Linked DNA regions of Nothobranchius furzeri. The protein of the gene in region 4 interacts with the protein of the main gene of each other region in a pairwise test. Links are inferred from orthologs where the notes say so. Each region holds a gene or a part of one and is shown on either strand. Other genes may lie near its edges.

Evidence for each region.
Region 1: the proteins of prr13 (region 4) and kelch-like protein 12 interact in binary tests that used the Homo sapiens proteins (3 or more experiments, as listed by UniProt). The two-hybrid records come from large-scale screens. The link is inferred for Nothobranchius furzeri from reciprocal best matches to the Homo sapiens genes PRR13 and KLHL12.
Region 2: the proteins of prr13 (region 4) and srek1ip1 interact in binary tests that used the Homo sapiens proteins (3 or more experiments, as listed by UniProt). The link is inferred for Nothobranchius furzeri from reciprocal best matches to the Homo sapiens genes PRR13 and SREK1IP1.
Region 3: the proteins of prr13 (region 4) and lgals3a interact in binary tests that used the Homo sapiens proteins (3 or more experiments, as listed by UniProt). The two-hybrid records come from large-scale screens. The link is inferred for Nothobranchius furzeri from reciprocal best matches to the Homo sapiens genes PRR13 and LGALS3.
Region 5: the proteins of prr13 (region 4) and zcchc10 interact in binary tests that used the Homo sapiens proteins (3 or more experiments, as listed by UniProt). The two-hybrid records come from large-scale screens. The link is inferred for Nothobranchius furzeri from reciprocal best matches to the Homo sapiens genes PRR13 and ZCCHC10.

What each region holds. Positions count from the first base shown.
Region 1 is NC_091755.1:52,034,845-52,038,612, reverse strand, and holds the end of kelch-like protein 12, read left to right. Parts: intron 1-1,318; coding exon 1,319-1,417; intron 1,418-1,550; coding exon 1,551-1,737; intron 1,738-2,410; coding exon 2,411-2,537; 3' UTR 2,538-3,266; downstream 3,267-3,768. UniProt on the Homo sapiens protein: Substrate-specific adapter of a BCR (BTB-CUL3-RBX1) E3 ubiquitin ligase complex that acts as a negative regulator of Wnt signaling pathway and ER-Golgi transport.
Region 2 is NC_091748.1:63,077,273-63,081,256, forward strand, and holds srek1ip1 (protein SREK1IP1), read right to left. Parts: upstream 2,801-3,984; 5' UTR 2,668-2,800; coding exon 2,655-2,667; intron 2,390-2,654; coding exon 2,342-2,389; intron 2,044-2,341; coding exon 1,885-2,043; intron 1,388-1,884; coding exon 1,318-1,387; intron 1,095-1,317; coding exon 860-1,094; 3' UTR 301-859; downstream 1-300. UniProt on the Homo sapiens protein: Possible splicing regulator involved in the control of cellular survival.
Region 3 is NC_091758.1:19,583,466-19,587,496, reverse strand, and holds the start of lgals3a (galectin-3), read left to right. Parts: upstream 1-1,227; 5' UTR 1,228-1,375; intron 1,376-1,743; 5' UTR 1,744-1,746; coding exon 1,747-1,761; intron 1,762-1,887; coding exon 1,888-2,595; intron 2,596-3,435; coding exon 3,436-3,524; intron 3,525-3,613; coding exon 3,614-3,770; intron 3,771-4,031. Other genes in the region: gmfb (glia maturation factor beta), read right to left, coding at 529-531. UniProt on the Homo sapiens protein: Galactose-specific lectin which binds IgE. May mediate with the alpha-3, beta-1 integrin the stimulation by CSPG4 of endothelial cells migration.
Region 4 is NC_091743.1:62,074,334-62,078,595, reverse strand, and holds prr13 (proline-rich protein 13), read right to left. Parts: upstream 2,812-4,262; 5' UTR 2,678-2,811; intron 2,233-2,677; 5' UTR 2,184-2,232; coding exon 2,168-2,183; intron 2,051-2,167; coding exon 1,617-2,050; intron 666-1,616; coding exon 627-665; 3' UTR 274-626; downstream 1-273. Other genes in the region: cell division cycle-associated protein 7, read left to right, coding at 3,145-3,243, 3,419-3,775, 4,150-4,242. UniProt on the Homo sapiens protein: Negatively regulates TSP1 expression at the level of transcription. This down-regulation was shown to reduce taxane-induced apoptosis.
Region 5 is NC_091750.1:56,826,540-56,830,708, reverse strand, and holds the start of zcchc10 (zinc finger CCHC domain-containing protein 10), read right to left. Parts: upstream 2,802-4,169; 5' UTR 2,717-2,801; coding exon 2,676-2,716; intron 1,969-2,675; coding exon 1,807-1,968; intron 1,248-1,806; coding exon 1,206-1,247; intron 1-1,205.

The DNA.
Region 1 (3,768 bases), on a different chromosome or scaffold from region 4:
AAACACCTAAAACCCAAGAAAAAGCTAGATAGCATAATGTAGGTGGTACATAAATAAAACATAGAATTTAAAACCAAACAATTAAAATAGGTAAGACACAAAATAGAAAGCCGAAAGCTGAGGACACACCCATTAGGAGGACTTCACTGGCTGAAAGCCAGTTTGAAGAGATGTGACTTCAGTTTTGATTTCAAATGCACAAGTGTCGAAGCCAGGCACACTTCCAGAGGGAGTGCGTTCTACAGCTTAGGAGCGGCAATGGCAAATGCCCGCTCACCGTGGGATGGATATTTCATTTTAGGAGTGCAGAGCAATTGATCTGTAGATTGTAGTGATCGGGAGGGGAGTTGGCAAGTGAGCAGCTCAGACAGGTAGTGGGGTGCGTGATCATTCAGAGCTTCATAAGTGAACAACAAAATTTTAAACTGCACTTGGTAGGTCACAGGAAAGTGTAGATCAGCCAAGGTGGGAATGATATGGCATCGTCTGCTTGTAGTTGTAAGGAATCGTGCAGCAGCATTTTAGACTTTCTTTAAGCAGTTAACAGAGGCACCAACAAGGACTGAATATGCATAGTCAAGTTTTGAGATGATAAACACGTGAATAACCTATTCCAGGTGTGGTCTTCTAAGGATGGGTTTTTAGCGTGTCAAGACATCACAGTTGGAAAAAAGACCTCACAGTAGCATTTATCTGTGGGGTCATTGATATGTCTGCATCTAGTTTGACCCAGAGGTTGGTCGCACAGGATTAGAGATTCATGCAGGTGTGGCAAGGTGGAGAAACGAGGGCTCGAGCAGGATTTCGATCCCCAGACTCGCGGGTGAGAATCACGCACGCTAACAAGCCAACCAAAAGGATATTCCCGTGGCCAAGTTGCCAGGGCGCATGATCAATCGGGATACAGTGACAGGAGGTCACCCTGTAACACGGGAGATCAAGAGTTGAAAATTCATGCAGGTTCCTATTTTTTTTGGTTTAAAGAGAATGGCCTCAGTCTTATCATCATTAAGCCAGAGCAAGTTGAAAGCAATCCAGGCCTTAACATCAGAGAGACAAGAAGTAGATTAATGGAACCAGTTTGATCTAAGGCTAGTTAAGCCTGACAGCCATCAGTATAGAAGTAATAGTGCAAACCAGTTTTCACTAAAATATTGCCGAGAGGGAGAATATAGACAGTGAAGAGGGGTGGACCTAGGATTAAACCCTGAGGTACTCCCCAGGAAAGCAGGATGAAGACAGACATGTTTTAATTGCTCTGGCTATTCCACATTAATATTAATGTGTAGTGATTATATCACAATGCTTCACCCTGCAGGTGGATATGATGGTCTAAATATTTTGAATTCAGTGGAGCGGTACGACCCGCACACAGGACACTGGACCAGTGTGACGCCCATGGCTACGAAACGATCAGGTGAATCTGAAAACCGCTGTGTGTGTGTGTGTGTGTGTGTGTGTGTGTGTGTGTGTGTGTGTGTGTGTGTGTGTGTGTGTGTACGCGCGCGCGCTTGTGTGCATGCTACTCTGACCCTAACCGTTGTGTTCAGGAGCTGGTGTGGCTTTACTCAATGACCACATTTATGTGGTGGGGGGGTTTGATGGAGTTTCTCACCTGGACTCGGTGGAGGTGTACAACATCCGAACAGACTACTGGACCACTGTGGCCAGTATGACCACTCCTCGGTGTTACGTAGGAGCAACCGTCCTCCGAGGACGACTCTACGCCATCGCAGGGTGAGAATGAGCATCCTTCTCTCTGTATCTGATGTTTGACCTCTGACCTGTTAGAGCTGAGACGGAAGGATTAGCACTGCATGGTCATGCTAATTTGAAAATGATCGAACCTGGGCTATAAGTGGTAAGAGTTTATTATTATGCAAATGTTGAAGGAAAAAGTCGATGAACAATGAGATGTTTTAATTCCAACAGAGATTAACGGATGAAGTGATGCTGGCTGTGGCTGGAAAGCACCTAGATGCTGTTGCACTCAACTTCTCTGTTTAATTTCTGTAAAGCAGCCTTGGGACAGTTTTGTGACCAAATTGTGAATACGGGAACAAATGGAACCACAAATTGAGGCATTTTGCTACATGTATATTTGCACTAGTTTTCCAGTTTATCTGTCAGTGATCGATGAGAGTCAGGATCCCTTCAAGTTCCAACTGAATGTTTGCATGTATTTTTTTTTTCAGGCATATTTTAATCATTAATACAGAAATTTTTCATCCTTTTACAAATACAGTGATTGTGTGAGACTCAAGAAGATGCATCATATTTATTTAGACATTTAGCTCATTGCTGTGATACAACAGAGTGGTTATGTGTTGGGTTCTGCCTTCATTCACACAGGTGTGTGTGTGTGTGTGTGTTCTGGTGCGGCTCACTGCTCACTCTCTGTTTTCTCCAGATATGACGGAAACTCTCTCCTCAGCAGTATTGAATGTTATGACCCAGTTATTGACTCCTGGGAGGTCGTCACATCGATGGCGACCCAGCGATGTGACGCAGGCGTCTGCGTTCTGCGAGAAAAATGATGTTCTGCAAGAGCAAGAACCACAAGAAGAAAAGGACAGGCAGCTAGACTTTTGCTAAAATGCCGCTAAATTAAACCACAAAGGAAGACGTTTTTGTGCCAGTATGCAAAGATACTCCTAAAGGGGAAAAAAGGTGACGTGCAGCAGTTTGGGCTTTTTCCTCTGAAGGTTAGTTCACCTTTTGTCAGTGCGCTGCAGAGCCTCAGCCTCGCCGTGGTCAACCACACTTCACTTCCAAGGAGCCCATCACCACTTGCATGACTCTTCAGTGGTGTCTGTTGTTACCTGTGAGATTATTTTTTCAGTTTGTCTTCAAAGTGCAATATATTTTTACTCATCAACAAAAAAGGATGGAGCAGGTTTAGGCTCCCCTTGCTGCTAAATGCCTTATGACTTTGGCCTATCATCCACCAGTGGACGTTCATGATGCCGCCCATGAGAATGATGGTTAAGTGAACTGATGTGCCATTTGCAGGCTCTTTAATGGGTCAGTAGTTCACTCCCCTCTTTTGTAACTCATTGTGATAATGGTACTTTTAGATAGAAATCACTTTAACACAAAAGGTTTATTACTAAAGATATATTTCAAGAAGAATATTGTTTTAGAAATTGACTTACATGTACAATCCGATGATTTTTCCTCTCCTATTTGGCAAAACTGAGGGATGCATGAAGCCCCTCCCCCTCCAAACACACACACACACACACACTAACATCATTGTTTTTTGGGAAATTCAATAAAAAAAAAACTCTGAGAAACCGGTTATCTAATCAGCTTCTTCAGTCTAGTCAGCTCTCAAAGTGCAATCCAGTTCTTACACTTAAACCAGTTAGAGTTTTGGTTTAATAGACAAAACTAGTGAAAACAAAATGATTTTACATTTCAAAAATATCAGTCCAGCACTTTGTTTTCCACTTAAGTTTGGATTATTCTTTTGGTTTTGGAAAGATTACAGAAAGGTCAAATAATTAACTTGGTTAGGTTAGGTTAAAAACGTTACTGTTTTACCAAACCTGAATAAATTCTTACCAGCTGTGGTGGTCAGATTTTTAGTTTGGTACCAAGGTGTAAAATTGTTTTCCCAGCTGAGTTCAGTTCAATAACTTTGGTACAAAGTTCAAAAAGTGTCTTTTTCCCAGTCGGAACACTTGAGATGATTTATGAAATAAAGACATGAGGAGAAAAACACAAACTTCGGTTACATAAATTAGAATTGATAGATTTAAGGTT
Region 2 (3,984 bases), on a different chromosome or scaffold from region 4:
TACTTAATACAGCCTTATTGTGAAAGGATCTGAATGCACTTCTTTTAGGGACTTTTGAGCATCTTTAGCACTAGTGAATAACTCCAAACCTTTCATGAAGCTGAAACTTCTCTTTTAAGTGCTGATGTTGTTAAACAGCAGTTTACCAGATAGAAATATGAGGTGTGATGCTTCCCTCTAGTGGCCATGTGGCTGCATATGAACCATATTTAGTCCGTTTTTTTTTTTTTTTTTGTCAATCAGGATTGGTGGTTTATTAAATTTGGTCAGATTAGATTACAAAGGGAAAACAGTGACAGATTAAACTGAAACAAACATGTTTTATTCCCAGTAAAGGGTCAGTGATCAACAGAAAACTAAGACAAACCTGCAGTAATTACAGCAAAGATGATGCATTTCACTGACTGTTTATGCATTTTTGCAGAAACCTCACACATGCAACCTACACAAAGAAAGGTCAGGATTTGAACCTGTGACCTTCCCGCTGCAAAGCAACAGCACTACCAACTGAACCACCGTACTGCCCTCATGTTTAAAAGCACTTTGACCTTTTAAATTGATCCTTTTTGACTAAAATACATAAAAATAACAGAAATAGGAACTTATTAACCTGCAGTATGAAGTGTTTAATATTTTAAATCCTTGTATAAAGATGGGTTCCTGACAGTCTCAGAGGAAATCAGCAGTCATTTTAACCCTTACGTCATATTGTTGCCATTAATCTGTAGCAGACAAAATTTACTTTAACACTCAGAAAGGAAAGCTCAGATGAAACTATTTGATTTGCTGCATTTATAAAGTGTCAAAACGCAGACCATCTACACTTCTGAATAAACACGTCGTCCAGAAACGACACTGTTCAGTCACTGTCTGATGATTCACCAGAGGTGGAAGAGGATGATGAGGATGATTTGTGTTTCCTCTTCTTCTCTTTCATTTTGTGATGCTTCCCGTGCTCTTTTTTGTTCTTTTTACTCTTCTTCTTGCGGCTTAGTTTCTTTTTCTTTCTTCTCTCCTCTTCATCCGACGATGAGCTTGATCTGCTTCGCTTCTTCTTTTTTTTTGTGCCCCCATCACTCGACGACGAGTAAGATCTAAATTTTAAATAATAGTTACTGGCTTTGGTAAAACCAAGAAAACACTTCAAATCTTTAAGTATCAACTATAAAAACATCTAAAATAATACATTATTAGTCTATCTTTAACTAGTGGAATGAAAAATATTTTCCAACAACTTACATGCTTTTTTCAACACAGTAATTGAGAATATAGGAGCATTAAAAACACGTATCTTAATATAAACACAAGATAAATGACCTTTTTCTTGACTTTCTGTCTTTGTTCTTCTGTTTCCGCTTCTTTTTTCTATCGTCATCATCATTGGAATCTAAAACATTGAAAATAATGAAAGGAAAAGTCGACATTGAATCAAAGCAAGTCACAGTAGAAGCAGAACAGGACCTGAATCATAGAAGAACAGAAAGTTTGATTAGCATTTGAAAGTCTCTTGTTTGATTTTTTTTAGTTTCTTATGTAAAGTAAGCGGTGACGGTCTGCCTCCACATTGAGAGGATCTGGTTAGGATGCCTCCCTGGTGAGGTTTTCCAGACACGTCAAACTGGGAGTAGACCTAAAGGAAGACCAAGGACAAGCTGGAGGCACTATGTTTCTCAGTAGGACAGGGAACGCCTTGGGATTCCCCCAGAGAAGCTGGACCAAGTGGCTCGGGAAAGGGAAGCCTGGCCCTCTCTGCTTAAGCTGCTGCCCCCATGGCCCGAACCCGGATAAGCGGAGGAAAATAGATAGATGGATGGTAGTCTGCACTTTCTTTGCTTTATTTTAATCAAAATATTATTGATTTAAGCAAATTTTAAGCCATCTGACCTTTGTGATGCTGACCACTCCGTCCCAGTTTCTCTGTGTGCTGAGAAACTGGTCCGTCATCTTCACTCTCCTCGCTGCTGGTGCTGCTCACATCCAGAACAATGTCTTTCTGCGGGTCGACCCGGACGAAGTTTCGGCACTCAAACGTCAAATGTCCCGCTGAGAAACGAACACAAAAAGAGATCACAATTGAAACACTAAATTAAGGAAAAGAACATTTGTTCAGATGGAAAAACGTCAGTGAAAACATTAAATCTAATTATTTACACAGTTCTTCATTACTGATAGCATATTTTAAATCATATAACTTGTTTTTGGCTCATTTTAAACAAAGTACCTCTATCTGTCTCCAAAAGCATTTAAGATTCAAAGAATTCACTTTTCAAATGTAACTTGAAAAATAAATCGAATGCATACATTTGTACTAATAAGTAATCTATTAGATAAAGTTACTTACGATAGCCACATTTCTTACAGCCAGCTCTGATGTTGTCTTTGTTGGCAGCTGTCAGGTGATACAAGAGGTTAAATATCACGAAGATTCACGCGGGAAAGCGCTTTATGACTGCATTATTTCTTTTTCAACACAGAAATTGTTTAACGATATTTAGCTAAGTTATAATATATCCAGGATTTGTGCGAAAATGCCAGGAGTAGTCTCCGTGTTTGTTGGAGGTTTAACTGTTGTAAAGATGAGCTCCACTTTACTTATCTTATCTACGCTAAATGATCAAAAAATTAGCCTAAAAACACTCAAACAGAACCCCTACCTGGTGCCGCCATTGTGCTTTTGGTGATAAAACTACAAATTTGTTTTAAAAAATATATATTTCAGAGCGAATGCAAGTCTACAAGAACAATACCGTCGACCGGAAACATTTGCACCTGAAACTACTGCTTCCTCCCTCTCTTCTTCTAATTTCCTGTTTAGAAAACAAAATCAGTGGCTCAATGTCGCCACCTGCTGGACATGTGCTAAAAACAAAGACCTACAAAAAAAAAAGATCGTCTCCAAAAAATATAAATAAATAAAATAAATCTTATGGTTCCTTACAGTTACTAGTATTATTTATTTATTTATTTATTTTATTTTATTTTATTTTATTTTATTTTATTTTATTTAACCAGGGAAAGCCCATGGAGGTTAAAAAATCTTTATTAAGGGAGACCTAGCTAGCCAATAAGGCAAAGATCAAAACGACGTTCATTCAAGAAGAAAAAATAAGCATTACAATGAACACTGGATATATTTAAAGGAAACAGTTGGATGTTGTCATCATTGGGTCTGTGGTGGTACTTCAACATCAACAAGGTTTAAACACATGGACAGTAGTTTTGACCACTTTTTAAATTTAATTAAAGTTTTTTAAACTGAAAGGGTCGTTGAGATTTACATCTAGGAATGTCCTTGCAGAGCAACAATAAATAAAACAGTTTACACATTGCAGAAAAACAAACAAACAAAAGCATTAGGATAATCAGCAAACGAAAAAGGATTCAGGTAGTTTGTGCAGCAGCCAGTGACAGAAATTCATAAATCGAAACATGTACCTCCAAATGTTTAGCTAGTTCATATTTCAAGTTTTAATTAAAAATACTTTGTTTTCATAAATGATATCTCTGTAATCAACAAAAACTCGTTATTTAGCAATGTTTGCACTTTTCCTGATTGATTTACCAGCAAAGTCTGGTGTGGTTTTATTTGCCAGGGGTTAATTGACAGCAGCCAGGCTTGAAGATGGAAAATGCTGACAGATGTTGGGCCCCCAGACGTGCTGTCATCATTAGGTCTGTGGCTGTGACACACACACACACACACACACACACACACACACACACACACACACACACACACACACACACACACACACACACACACACACACACACACACACACACGCACACACACACACCAAACTGCCAGAAGTAAATCTAGAATTAACTTAGTAAAAAAGGAAATGATAAAGTAATCAGAAGATTCCCCATAAAAGCTGATGTCCCTGAAAACATTTGGCAAGATCAAATGTTTTCTAAATAATATTTTGACATTCCTGTAACATCTGCATTCAAAATAGAAAACTGGAAAAAATAAACTTATCT
Region 3 (4,031 bases), on a different chromosome or scaffold from region 4:
GCATCTGGACTTGAAAATTTACCCAAACTAGCCGATTCAACGGTAAAAACACAATAGCTGGTCACAACCTTGAAACAGCTATTGCTAATAAATTATTAAAAGGATATTATATATTTTTAATCATCAATTATTCATTTGAGTGGGTCGAATACACAAAATACACACATTTGAATAATAAGTAATCAATTTCAAATTTGACAATCAACAGGTAATGATTAATACATAAATTGTCAGAGATTATTTATATAAATAATGTGTGTTGATAAATGATCATGCATGTTGCTTTCCGAGGCCAATAAATCTATTTTATTCTGAAAATACTGACCGGAAACATATTCGATGTGCGTTGACAAACTTGCCACGATACACAAAAAGAGGGTGGAACTAATGCTAGGCTAACAAGCTAACAATTACAATCTGCGACTTTTCATAAATAATTCGCAGAATTAATTTGTGAAGAGTTCGTTATTAAAACACAAAAATGACAACGACGCCACTCCACGTTCACAAGCAAACAGAACAACTCACCATTGTTGCTGCGTAAAATCCCTCCTAACGCTTCTGCTGCTGTTGTGAATGGCAGGAACGCTTTCTGTGTTTTTTTTTTTCGTTTACTTCATATCATCTTGTGACTGGTTAGACCAATCCCAAACAGGCACCCCTTCACTTAAACCCTGCCCAATACATTCAGCTCAGCAGTAAAACGTTATTTTAAATGATACAACCGCACGATTAACACATTGTTTAAATAATCCAGTTTAATTTCACAGCATAAAAATAAATATTTACATTTTATTCTTGCATATATATCAGGAATAAGGAGCTGTAATCATTCATTCTTCATTTACTCAGTCTGGCTGTGATCGATTCTACTGGTTACACACGCGCGCCCGCACACACACACACATACACACACTTTTTTTCCCCATTTTCTAAACGTTGTAGTCAACCTTTTTGCTCATCCACGTGGGCTTGTATGTATTTATATTTGATATATAATGTATATAATGTACATTATATTTATATGTAATGTGTGTATTTATATTTAACCCAACCGAACCCAACTGTGTAAAATGTGCATTGTAAATAAAGTTAGATTGGTTTATGAAAAGTTTTGCCCCCCCTCAAAAAAAACCCCCGCTGTGGACGCTTGTGTGCGCGCGCGCACCGGAACGCACCCACCCCGTAATATACGTCATCAGTTAAGCGCGTGTGCGTCTTTCCTTTTCAGGAGTTGTAGTTGTGAAAGCACATCTAACGTTAGCTTACACTTGTGAGCCTCGGCAGCCACAACAAGCAGGTTGAACCGTTTCCAGTGCTGGATAATTCGTCGCTCTTACCCTCCGTGGTTTAAGGAAAGTCCAGCTTTTGTCCGGTATGTTCAAAAATCCGCTTTAGTGCATTTTACTGTACTCAGATCTGAGCTAAACAAGCGTAAACTACTAACAGTTAGCTGGTGTTAGCTAGATCGGTAGCCAAGTCTGCAACATATTACTAGAAAATTCGTTCCTGTTTCCTCGCTAATATGCTATTCACTGTCATGGCATTTGTGTAACTTTCCACTGTAATATATTTAAGTAATGTCGAGTTGTTTGGAGCCTGTCAAAATGGATTCTGTTAATCTCCACGGTTGTAGGATGGAAACATTTACTCAGAGCTCAGACCTGCCCAGTGATTCTGACACTAGCTTGTTAAAACCGGTTACTATAAACTCACGAGAGTTGTTTTTGTTCCTTCTTTTAGATCATGGCGGATTTCTCGGTAAGTTGAAAATGTTTACACTCACCTATTTACGTCCCTTCATATTGTTTTTATTATTAGCTTGTAGTTGAACAGATCTGTTGTTGTGGGTGGAGACGGCTAATTGTACTTTCTCTCCCTCTCTAGCTGACAGATGCTTTAGTAGACGAACCATCAAACCCGCCTAAGATAGACAATACCAATCGTTCTGTACCAGACAGAAATCCCCCGCCTCATTCAAACCCAGGATGGCCTGCTTCTGCCCCAGGAGCTCCCATCCAGCCCACAGCACCTGCTGACTTTAGTGGCGGATTGTCTGGCCCAGGTGCACCAGGCTCATTCTCATATCCCTCAGGTCCTGGAGCACCAGGGCAATACTCCGGACCTCCTTCAGCACCTGTTGGGTTCCCTGTTGGTCCTGGTATACCTGGGCAGTACCCACCTGCACCAGGAGCTCCAGGCCAGTTTCCCTCAAGTCCTGGGGCACCTGGGCAGTTCCCTGGCCAGTATCCCCCTGAAGGAGTTCCAGGACAATTACCTGGAGGCCCTACTCCTTACCCAGCTGGACCTTTTCCTTCTGGCCCTGGAGCTCCTGCTGGACCATATCCAAATGTGCCTTTTCCTGGTAGTCAGCAACCAGGAGGAAATGGGATGTACGGACCAGGAGGTCCAGGTACATTCCCAGCTCCAGCTGGCCCCAGTTCATTTCCAGCATTCCCTGCTGGTGGGTTTCCCCCAATGCCACCTGGATCATGGGGAGCACCGGCAGGAGGTGGTTTTCCTCCTGCACCTGGCCCTTTTGGGTCCAGTCCTATGAGTCCATATGGGGGGCCAGCCTGTCCAGGAGGCACATTGGTGAGTACTTGTTCTTCTTGGAAACATTTTTCTTGCTTGCTGCACTTCTTATCTGGTGTATTTCTCATTTGGTGTTTGGTGGCAAGTCAAGGTGGTGAGCAGAAACGGTCACGTTCATGATCTGGTTTTGGTGGCGGCTGCATTTGGGTTTTATTCCTTCGTCTTTGAACACTGCTCGGGTGCAATTTTTATGATAAGCAGAAGTAATCTCTTTTCAGAAGGAATCATAGAAAAATCTATTTTTGTCTTTCAGCCCAGATATAATCCACCATTTTATTGAAAAGTCGGACAAGGACATCACTTCCAGCTTCAAAGCGTGGTTTGATTAGTGCCAAAGACTGACTGTATTCCGTATCTGATGGCAGTTGTGTTCAAATGTAAACAATAAACTGGGTGTAATTCTTTCAGTGCAATATTAAATAAGTTATATTTTTACAGAACATCTATTCCCTAATGATGAAAGTTTACTCGGATATTTTCTATCATTACAGGACAGATTCAGATCTGAGGTGTTGGAAATGTAATCGTTAAACTGAACTTTTTACTTTTTCATTACTTTGAGAAGTCACCGGGTGTTGAAACAAATGAAGAAAGTTATGACTCATTCAGGTGCTGTGGTAATAATGTTGGCAGGGTCAAAGTTTTGATTAATGTTTAACTGAATTCCCTTTATTTCCTGACAATAAACTTGTATGTTACCAAGTCAAGAGTGTTGTTAATAAAGGTTAAACGCGTGTGAATCTTCCCTGTCGGATGTCATTTATCGGGTAAAAACTGTTTTTATTTATATATTTATGCACAAAGTGCCTGTCTCATTTGTGTTGTAAATGTTTCTTGCAGATGTTGCCGCATGATCTCCCCCTTCACGCTGGAATCATGCCGCGACTTTTAATCACGATAATCGGAGAGCCTGTTCCTGGTGCAGTCAGGTACACGTTCACAAATAGCATTCAGCTCATGGGACTGATGTCAGATGTGGTGTTAGGGGAGAAAAACAACTATTTGTTTTCTTTTTCAGGTTCAATGTTGACTTCATCAAAGGTTCAGATGTGGTTTTTCACTTTAACCCTCGGTTTCATGAGCAAACCATTGTTAGAAACTCTAACTTAGGAGGTTATTGGGGGCCCGAGGAGCGCGAAGGACCCTTCCCCTTCGTTGAGGGACGCCGTTTTGAGGTAAAATCAAAACAAAAAGCTCAGGAGAAAGAAATATAATTTTATTTTTACATCTGTACTTTATAATAAGAATACAGCAAATGTAACGGAACACAGAGACTTTTGAAATTTTATAAAAGATGTAAAGGCAGCTTTTTGAGAGTGATGCTACGGTGGTCCTCCATGTTAGATGTGATTCCACCACGACATGTTTTATGCAGGCGTGAGATGCAATATTTATTTACACCTAATTCAGCAAGCTTTAGTTAGATTCAGTATCAG
Region 4 (4,262 bases):
AAAGATAATTTTTGAAGAAGTTTATTAAAAAAAAATATTAAAACTATTAGAATGATTTAAAATGCCTCAACAGAAAGAAAATGTTAGGAGTCTCTTACAGCTTACTTGATTAGATTAGTTTTCAACAATGTGTTAAATATTTTCAAATTGTGATAATTGTAGCATAAATAGAAATAAATGTTTATATTTATATACGTATTAAAGAGTCTCACTACAATTTGATGTTGACTTATTTTTTTCTAATCCTTTAAAAAACAATGGATGCGAGAAAGATAAAACACAGTATTGCCTTTATTTGGATTCACTTTATTGCACAGGTTAAAAGATTTTCTACTTTTATCAGTACATTTTAGAGTATTTGCATAGAACAGTTTCAGAGCAAAGCAGAATAACTGTTTTGCAGACACATTTAGTTGTAAGCACAAAGTTAAGACATTTAGAGAATAAAATAGGATCACATACATCACTCCTGTGAAATAAACTGAGAAAAGAAATGTTGCAAAACAGAATAACTACAAACTGAGGCTTTTTAGTGTCATAAATAAAGCTTAAAATACTGCAACTAAAAGTGACAAGGTATTTTAAGCATTTTGCATTCTGCAGGGTGTTGTTGAGCCAAAAGGGTCTCAGTCAGAATCACTGCTGCCACTGCTGCTGCTGGATGACTGTAAAGTAAACAAATATTTTGATAACTTTAGTACAATCAATTTAATAAACTGAATAATTGAATATCAAATTTTATAATACATAAATGCAGTAATTATAATAAAAATAGTTTGAGATGAGGAGGATAACCTTTACTGCAGGATAACAATAGAAATTTATACAATCAACACTATTGTACCATAATTCACATGTGACAAATCAAAGATCCAACACCATTTTTAATATTTCTACTAAATCTTCCAAAAAGCACAAAATGATTCATTTCAAACTTAAGTCAAGTTCCATTTTCTAAATGTATTACCTTGCTAAGTGACTATGTAATCTGATTATAGAAACCTGAGAGAATGCAAACTGTTCAAGATTATTTAAACACAGGGTCAAGACAAACAGCTGTCAAAAATAAAGTCATCCATCTTTTTATGCATTTGCGGAAATCTTCACACCCTTCACTTTTACTACACACATAGCTTCTACACTGAACTCATAAATCCCTTCAGAAAAATTGTGTACCGTTGTTTATGCAACAGTATGAACACCTAGATAAGTTCCCTTACTTGCAGTATTAGGAAATGTAAAGAATACAAATAATGCATGACATGATTTGCTGTACTGCTTATGTATTTGTTTTTTATGATAGTTCTGTGCAAAAAACTACAAATCTGTCATGCCTAATTTAAGCTGGTATATCTTCATAACTGTCCAGCAACTAGCACTTGTTTATTTGACTGCTTGCTGTTGTATAGTTTCAGTTTTGACTCTCTTCATCTCATTGTTCCGTTGATCTAGAAATACATATTCTTTCATTCCCTGTTTAATGACAATGTGTATTTCCTGAACTGACTGATCTAAAGAAGAGGACCTGGGCAGGTTCATTTGTTTCTGTATTAGTATTTCAGCAGCAGGAGGGATCATTTTCATTTTTTATATTCTTACTTAAAATCTGAACACACCTTGCCATGTTTGTGGTGTCCATGCTTGTGAGCTTTCTTCAGCTTCTTCATCTTCTTATGAGCTTTGTGTTCACCCAATGCCATTCCAAGCCCCATTCCTCCAGCTAAACCTCCAGCCAAGGGAAGCAACCCACCATGATGATCTTTGTGCTGGCCTTTGTGGTGACCTTTGTTGTGACCCCCTTTGGGTGAATGTGGATAAGGACCAGGATAAACACCTCCAGGGGGGGCCACTGGATATACACCTGGAGTCATAGGATAAGTATTGGGTACAGGAGTTACATAGGCCACCCCCCCTGGAGTTGCATATGGCCCCACAGCTGGGTAGTACACAGAATTTGGTGCCGGTAGGACAGTCCCTGGTGGAGGAACAGCCGGGTTTATGGAATTGTAAGGGGGAGGGAAGGCAGGGTTGTGTTGGACAGGAGGAGGGCCTGAAACAAAAAGCACAAGATCACAACTCATGCCTGAGATCAGAAAGGGTGTGAAGCAAAGAGAATCCAAATGCAAAATAAAAATATGAGTGTTACTTGCGAAATCTGATATCTTACCTTGATTTGGCCACATAGTTTCAGTTTATTTGATCAGAAAATGAAATCAGGTTTCACACAAAGTTCTACAGAAACAAACAGATTATATAGTTGATTCATTTAATTAGTTTTTAAACATGTCTTTAAAAAAACTAAACACAAAACTATACGTGCTTATTTTTCAAACTACTTAAAGAAAAAAAATTGTTTAATAATAATGATTAGAATAAGAACACCAGCAAAGTAAGATTTCAAGGTGAAAGTAATAGAAAGAAAACAGCCTCGCTTTTTATGTAGGACTGCTGTAGCGATATAAAGAAATGTACCTGCGCAAGCTGAAAACCGAGAACACGTCAAATAACCTACACCTTAGGGTAGGTTAGGGATTATGTTCAACTGAACAGATACATAATTAACAAAATGCCATCGATCTGACTCATGAGACAAAGTAAATAATGTTTTGTCAAGTAAACAAACTGTTCTTGTATCTTTACTATACTAGTAATACCTAAGTATACGTAGAGATCTTACCTCTGCTGTTGCTGAGTATGGAACTTGAAGTTTCGTGTTTGACTTCCGCATTTTATGTTGGGGCCACAGACCTGAATATGTAGGGCGCTGCAGAGCGTAAGCGTCACCACGTAAGCGTCACCGCCATATTGGATGGGTCTCCTCATCAATGCGAAGTGGTAACATCCGTTTTTGTGTAGCCTACAAACACCGTGCGGGCGGTGTTAAATGTGACTCCTCACACACGACGTACCGCCTCCCTTCGTGCAGCCCGAACCATCAAAGCACACTCACCTACATTTCTGTCTGACATAAAGAGTGAAGTAACCTGCGCCGCACGTGAGGGGAAATCCTGGCTGAGCTAAAAGTTTGCGTTGGTAGAGTGATGAATAAAGTGGTAAAATAAGTACATTTTCTTGCGCTATAAGTTACTGTTTGAACATAAATGCCTCTGAAGATAATTCACTCGTTTATTCACAGGTGTTGGAATGAACTCTGACATGAGGAAATTAGCTGACTTGTTTACGGAGGATTCAGAAAATGATGCGACATTTTATGGCTTTTCTGACTCTGAATTCGTAGATACGGTACGTTTTTATTTTTTAACAAATATTTTAGATTAGTCATGTCGACATGTGTGATGTATGGCAGAGAACGGCTGCCCTTTTAATTGTTTTACAGTATTTCAACAAGAATTTTAACTTTTTTTCTGTTAAGCTACTAGAAATTTTCTCAACAAGTAATTTTTACATTTCCAAACAGCGTTTGGATTATGACGATGAAGTCCAGCTTGACATGTCCCCCAAGGAACAGCAGAAAACCACATCTGCAGGCCTTCCACCTTTCAGACTGAGGGTTGCATTACGCTGTGTGCCTTCCATCCAGCTGTCCACAGGTCATGATGCAGAAGACAGTGAGAAAATAACAACTAGAAGAGGAGTGAAGAGGCTGAGAAACACCAGTAAAACTAAAAAGGACAGAGCTGTAAAACGTGAAGAAGAGGAGTCAACAGTTGGCCATCCTTCTCTGTCTGAGGAGCGTGGATCTGATTCAGACGAAGATGTTTTTGATAATTTTCTGTTAAAGAGAGAGCAGAACATCAAGGCTAACAAAGCAATGGTGACTCAGAAACATTTAAATTTTAGTTGGAAGTCAGTAATTAGAAATCTGTAATTTGAAAAACACTGCATTTAAACCCAATAATGGTCAATTAGTGCTTAAAACTTTAACAGATACCACATTCTCAACAGCTCAAAACCTCTATTAGAGGAGCCAATAAAGAGGATAACTGATTTTTTTGTTATTTGATCCTGATACTGGGGTCCAGAAACCTAATTTGATATATTTTGCTGGCAAGTCATTCTGATCAAGCAAGTAAAACAATAATAATGCATATAAAATACTTAGATTTTTAAGGCTGTAACTCTGGCATGTTATTTATATTACACTGCTGATTTTCAAAAGGGAATTTTTTTGAATTATTATTTTTACAGTTGGCTCAGCTGATGGCAGATCTGCAGAAAATTCCAGAAGGTGCAGGGATTTTCAAAAGATCAGGCAAACGGAAGGCAAAAGTAAGACACTCTGTGAGTGCACTGAAAAAAGG
Region 5 (4,169 bases), on a different chromosome or scaffold from region 4:
AAAATAAAGTTCAAAGATCGTTGTATCTTAATTTATTACCATTTAAAATGGCCTTGTTTCCCATCTGGGCTGTTTGATTGTGGTTTTAGTTGTGTTTGGAGAACGTGGACAGTTGTAGATGTTTGGGACATGAAACTGTAGAGGCACCCAATTGGGGGGCGTTAGGGTTAAACAGGCTAAGATACATTTAAATCTTTTTATAATTACTTTTTTAATTGACTTTCCAATTAATCTGTAACAACAATTTAACTGATGGAAAATGTGAAGCTGTTCTACTATCACAGTACAAAAGAAACAAGAATCAAATGTAAATTCACTAAGAGTCTTGTCTAAAAACAGACAATAACCAAGAAAATGGTTTCACTTCTCATCAACTGCCACTAGATGGAACTGTTAAGTCACAATTCTGTTTAAAGTGGTACAAGTTGAGAAATATGAACATAAGAATTAAAATATCATCTTTATGAATAAAAAAATCTTTTACATCCAAAAATGAATGACTAGAAATGACCACACCACAGCTATGAAACTTCTTTAAAATATTTCAATATAGTAAATTATAGGGATGTAAGAAAATATCGATATGACAATATATTGTGATATTTTTTCCTGCAATATTGTATCGATCTTTAAAAGCCACATGGAATTTACATGCAAACATTTGTGTATTTTCTTTTCTTTTGGTGCAATTCAAACGCCGACCACTAGGTAGCAGCAGTGTGCAATGGGTTTTGTTTCCACCATTGAAATATAAATCCCTTTCTCTATTCCACCTTCCTCAGGATGCACTGATTTCCCTCTTTCCTATTCACTCTCTCTCTCTTTCTTAACATTTTTTTTAATCACAATTGTCTATTTTTTGCTCATTTTAAATATATTTTTAACCATTTTCTAAATTATTTTTTATATTTTTACATTTTTTGTTTTTGTGAAGCGCCTCGTGATTTTTATCTTGAGAGGCGCTATAGAAATGATATTTTCTTCTTCTTTATAAGATACCTTATATTGAACATGTTACATTTCAGTTTGGACTGGACTGAGTTTCCCTACAATAAATTCTGTCAAAAAAAAATGCTAATATCATCTGGCTGAATGTATCACAATATATTGTGATATATCGAATTTGTCTCCCCTGTATCTTGATACGTATCGTATTATCAGAGTTTCACCAATACACATCCCTAGTAAATTATCAGATTACTTACTTCTTTTTTGTTTTCTTTTCACTGGAAGCTTCTCCTCCAGGTCTGTGATGTGGAAAAATCACAACATTATATATAGTTCAGTCACTATTGATAAAATCATTTGTTTGTATTTTTATGTATTTTAGTTAAACAAATTCAACTTCTATTTGAGATCATTTGAAACACTGTCAAAATTTAAGAATTATTTATAAATCTAATTTCACTGTAAAAACTGAGTTCTCAGTTATAATTATCATTTTTTGTGGGTTTATTTATGCACAGTTAGGCTGGGCGATCTAGCCTAAAATCAATATCACGATATATTGAGGATTTCACCTTGGTATGCGCAGAAACAAAAGTTGTCCATAAATGGGGCTGTCACATGTATTACGTTGAATCAAATTTTTAAGTCACTCAAGGTTGCACAGCTTCTTAAAGGGACATGGATTTTGCCAACCTACACACATCTTTTCATTTTTTTATTATCAAATTTAATGACATGGGAACATTTATCGATAAGAGTCAGAAATTTCAATAACGATACATTTTCGATTTATTGCCCAACCCTACATGAAGTCCAGGTGTAAATGACTTGTCCTTCAAACTGTCAGAGATGACTCACCCTGTGATGCTGAGAGGTTTGTTTTCTATCTCCTTCAGCTTCTTTTTCATTTCGGTTGTTCTTGACGGTCGGTGCAAATATTTCCGTTTCCCAGTGCACTCGTAAGTCCAGTGTCCCATCTCCAAGCACTTCTGACAACGCACATTTTGTTTGTTTGCCTCCCTGTAAGCAATAAAAATAAATAAATACCTTCCAAACAGGAAAAAATACATAAACTACAGAAGTAAGACATTTGCACATACATGTATTTGTTGTCAGATTACTTAAAATTAATAATGAATGGAACAAATGATTCCAGTATAAATTATGAAAAAAATGATGGCTGCCGTAGTTTAACTCCACCAGCAGGTGTCACTATAAGCAATGAATGATGCATCGAAGACGTGAACCTCTGGGCAAAGAAAATAGTTGAGAAGCTACACGAAGCTTTATGTAGCCATCTCATAATTAATACACTAGTAATGAATACTTCATTTTAAACTCAGAAACTCGCAGGTGTTCCACCAAAGAAACTGAAACCCCACCAATAATCACAAATTATCAAAACTCTGCCCAAGTCCCGATTCTTCTCAATACTTTGATCCGACTATTGGTTATAACTATATTGACATTAACATCGATGTAAACAAAATTATTTTTTACTTAAACTGGGGTATTATAAAAATAAATAACAGCTTCAGAAGAGTACAGTTTCACACAACGTAGCGCTTCGTAGAGCCGCGGGATGCCCGTCCCTCCAAGTTCGTTCTTTACAGGCTGAATGTAAAACTGTAGGTCAGCTATAGACCGCACGTGGTAACGTAACAAATGTAGACACAAAATATACTAAAATAATATTGCTACGCTAAGTTTAAAAATGTTTTACTCACGCTTGTCTTCTCGCTATTATTCTATGCATGGGAGTCGCCATGTTTGAAGTCTCTTCTTCGTTGGTGTCAGCTCAGGGCCTATTTCCGGAAATGTAAAGGAGTGAAAAGAATACGTAACCACCCGTGTCGTCGCCATTTTGGATGGGTCTCTTCATTCTCCGAAGGCAATGCAGAGTACGCAACTATGCCCGTTTTTGTGCATCCCACGGTTACAACAACCCGCGTACAATTGTAAATAGATCATGTGGGATTACTATAGTGACTTTTCTAGCCTACCTGATAGGATTTTAGATTTGTATTTGTTTATTTATTTTGTTTAATTACACTGACAGACACACTGACAGAGGCAGACTCGCCTCTGGTAGTGTGCCGAATGGAGACTAAGATGGCAGCCGGCCACTTCGGCAGCTCCAATAGGCAGCGCCATCCCATGAGGTGTCTACGTATTTACTCTTTGTATGGGGTGACACTGGCACAGGAGTTAAGTGCTCGTCCCATAATCGGAAGGTTGCAGGTTCAAGCCCCACTCAGTCTGTCGCTGTTGTTGTGTCCATGGGCAAGATACTTAACCCCCCTTGCTTGCTGATGGTGGTCGGATGGACCAGTAGCGCCAGCGCTCGACAGCCTCGCCTCTGTCAGTGTACCCCAGGGCAGCTGTGGCTAGAATGTAGCTCATCGACCAGACCAGGGTGAGCATGACTGTGTTGTAAAGCACTGTTACGTCCCCGACAGGAGGTGTTAAAATGTGAAGGAAGGGGAACACAAGAAACATGATAGTGGGTTTAAAATGGGTTTAATTGTTATAAAAGGTTCTAAAAACAAGTGCAAACAGATGGTGAGCATTGTTTAAAAAATGCCAAACAAAAAAAAAACTCTCAAAAAGGTTAACACTAAAAGACCAATTACCAACATTAAAAACACCTGGTTAAAACTTATATTAAAAGTTTTACTGAACAGAAAGTGTTTCCAAAATCTTCAAGTTGATAGTAAAATCTGACACACTAGAAAAACACTGAGTGTTTTAAAATCCCAAAGTCAGTAAACTACAACGTTAACCTTAAAACCAAGTCAACCAAGTTGACATCAAACAAAGATCCCTTTGGATCACTCAGAGTTAAAACTATTAAAATTAAGACTCATCAAAATGAAGGGGTTGAAACCAAAATGAGGCATGAATAACAGCTTAGCCCCTGCACTGCTGCCTCCCAGACTGCTGAAGGCACGGCCTTTTTATCCCAGGTGTAGGTCACCAGATGATTTAGCTCAGCTGTGCTCCTCAGCAGCCTGGAAGAAAGGAGGAAGAGGGGCGGTGCCTGGCTGATCACCGAGGCTGGGTGATCCTGGCTCCTGCACCTGAAGAGGCCAGGCTGGTGGCCACAACAAGCTCCTTGGGAGGTTCCAGGACTCTAGAAGGTGCTATGTCAAATACAGGCCATTTACCATTTTACTTTGGTGCCTGTCACTATTTAACAGGCACTCAACCCGTTAGAGAAT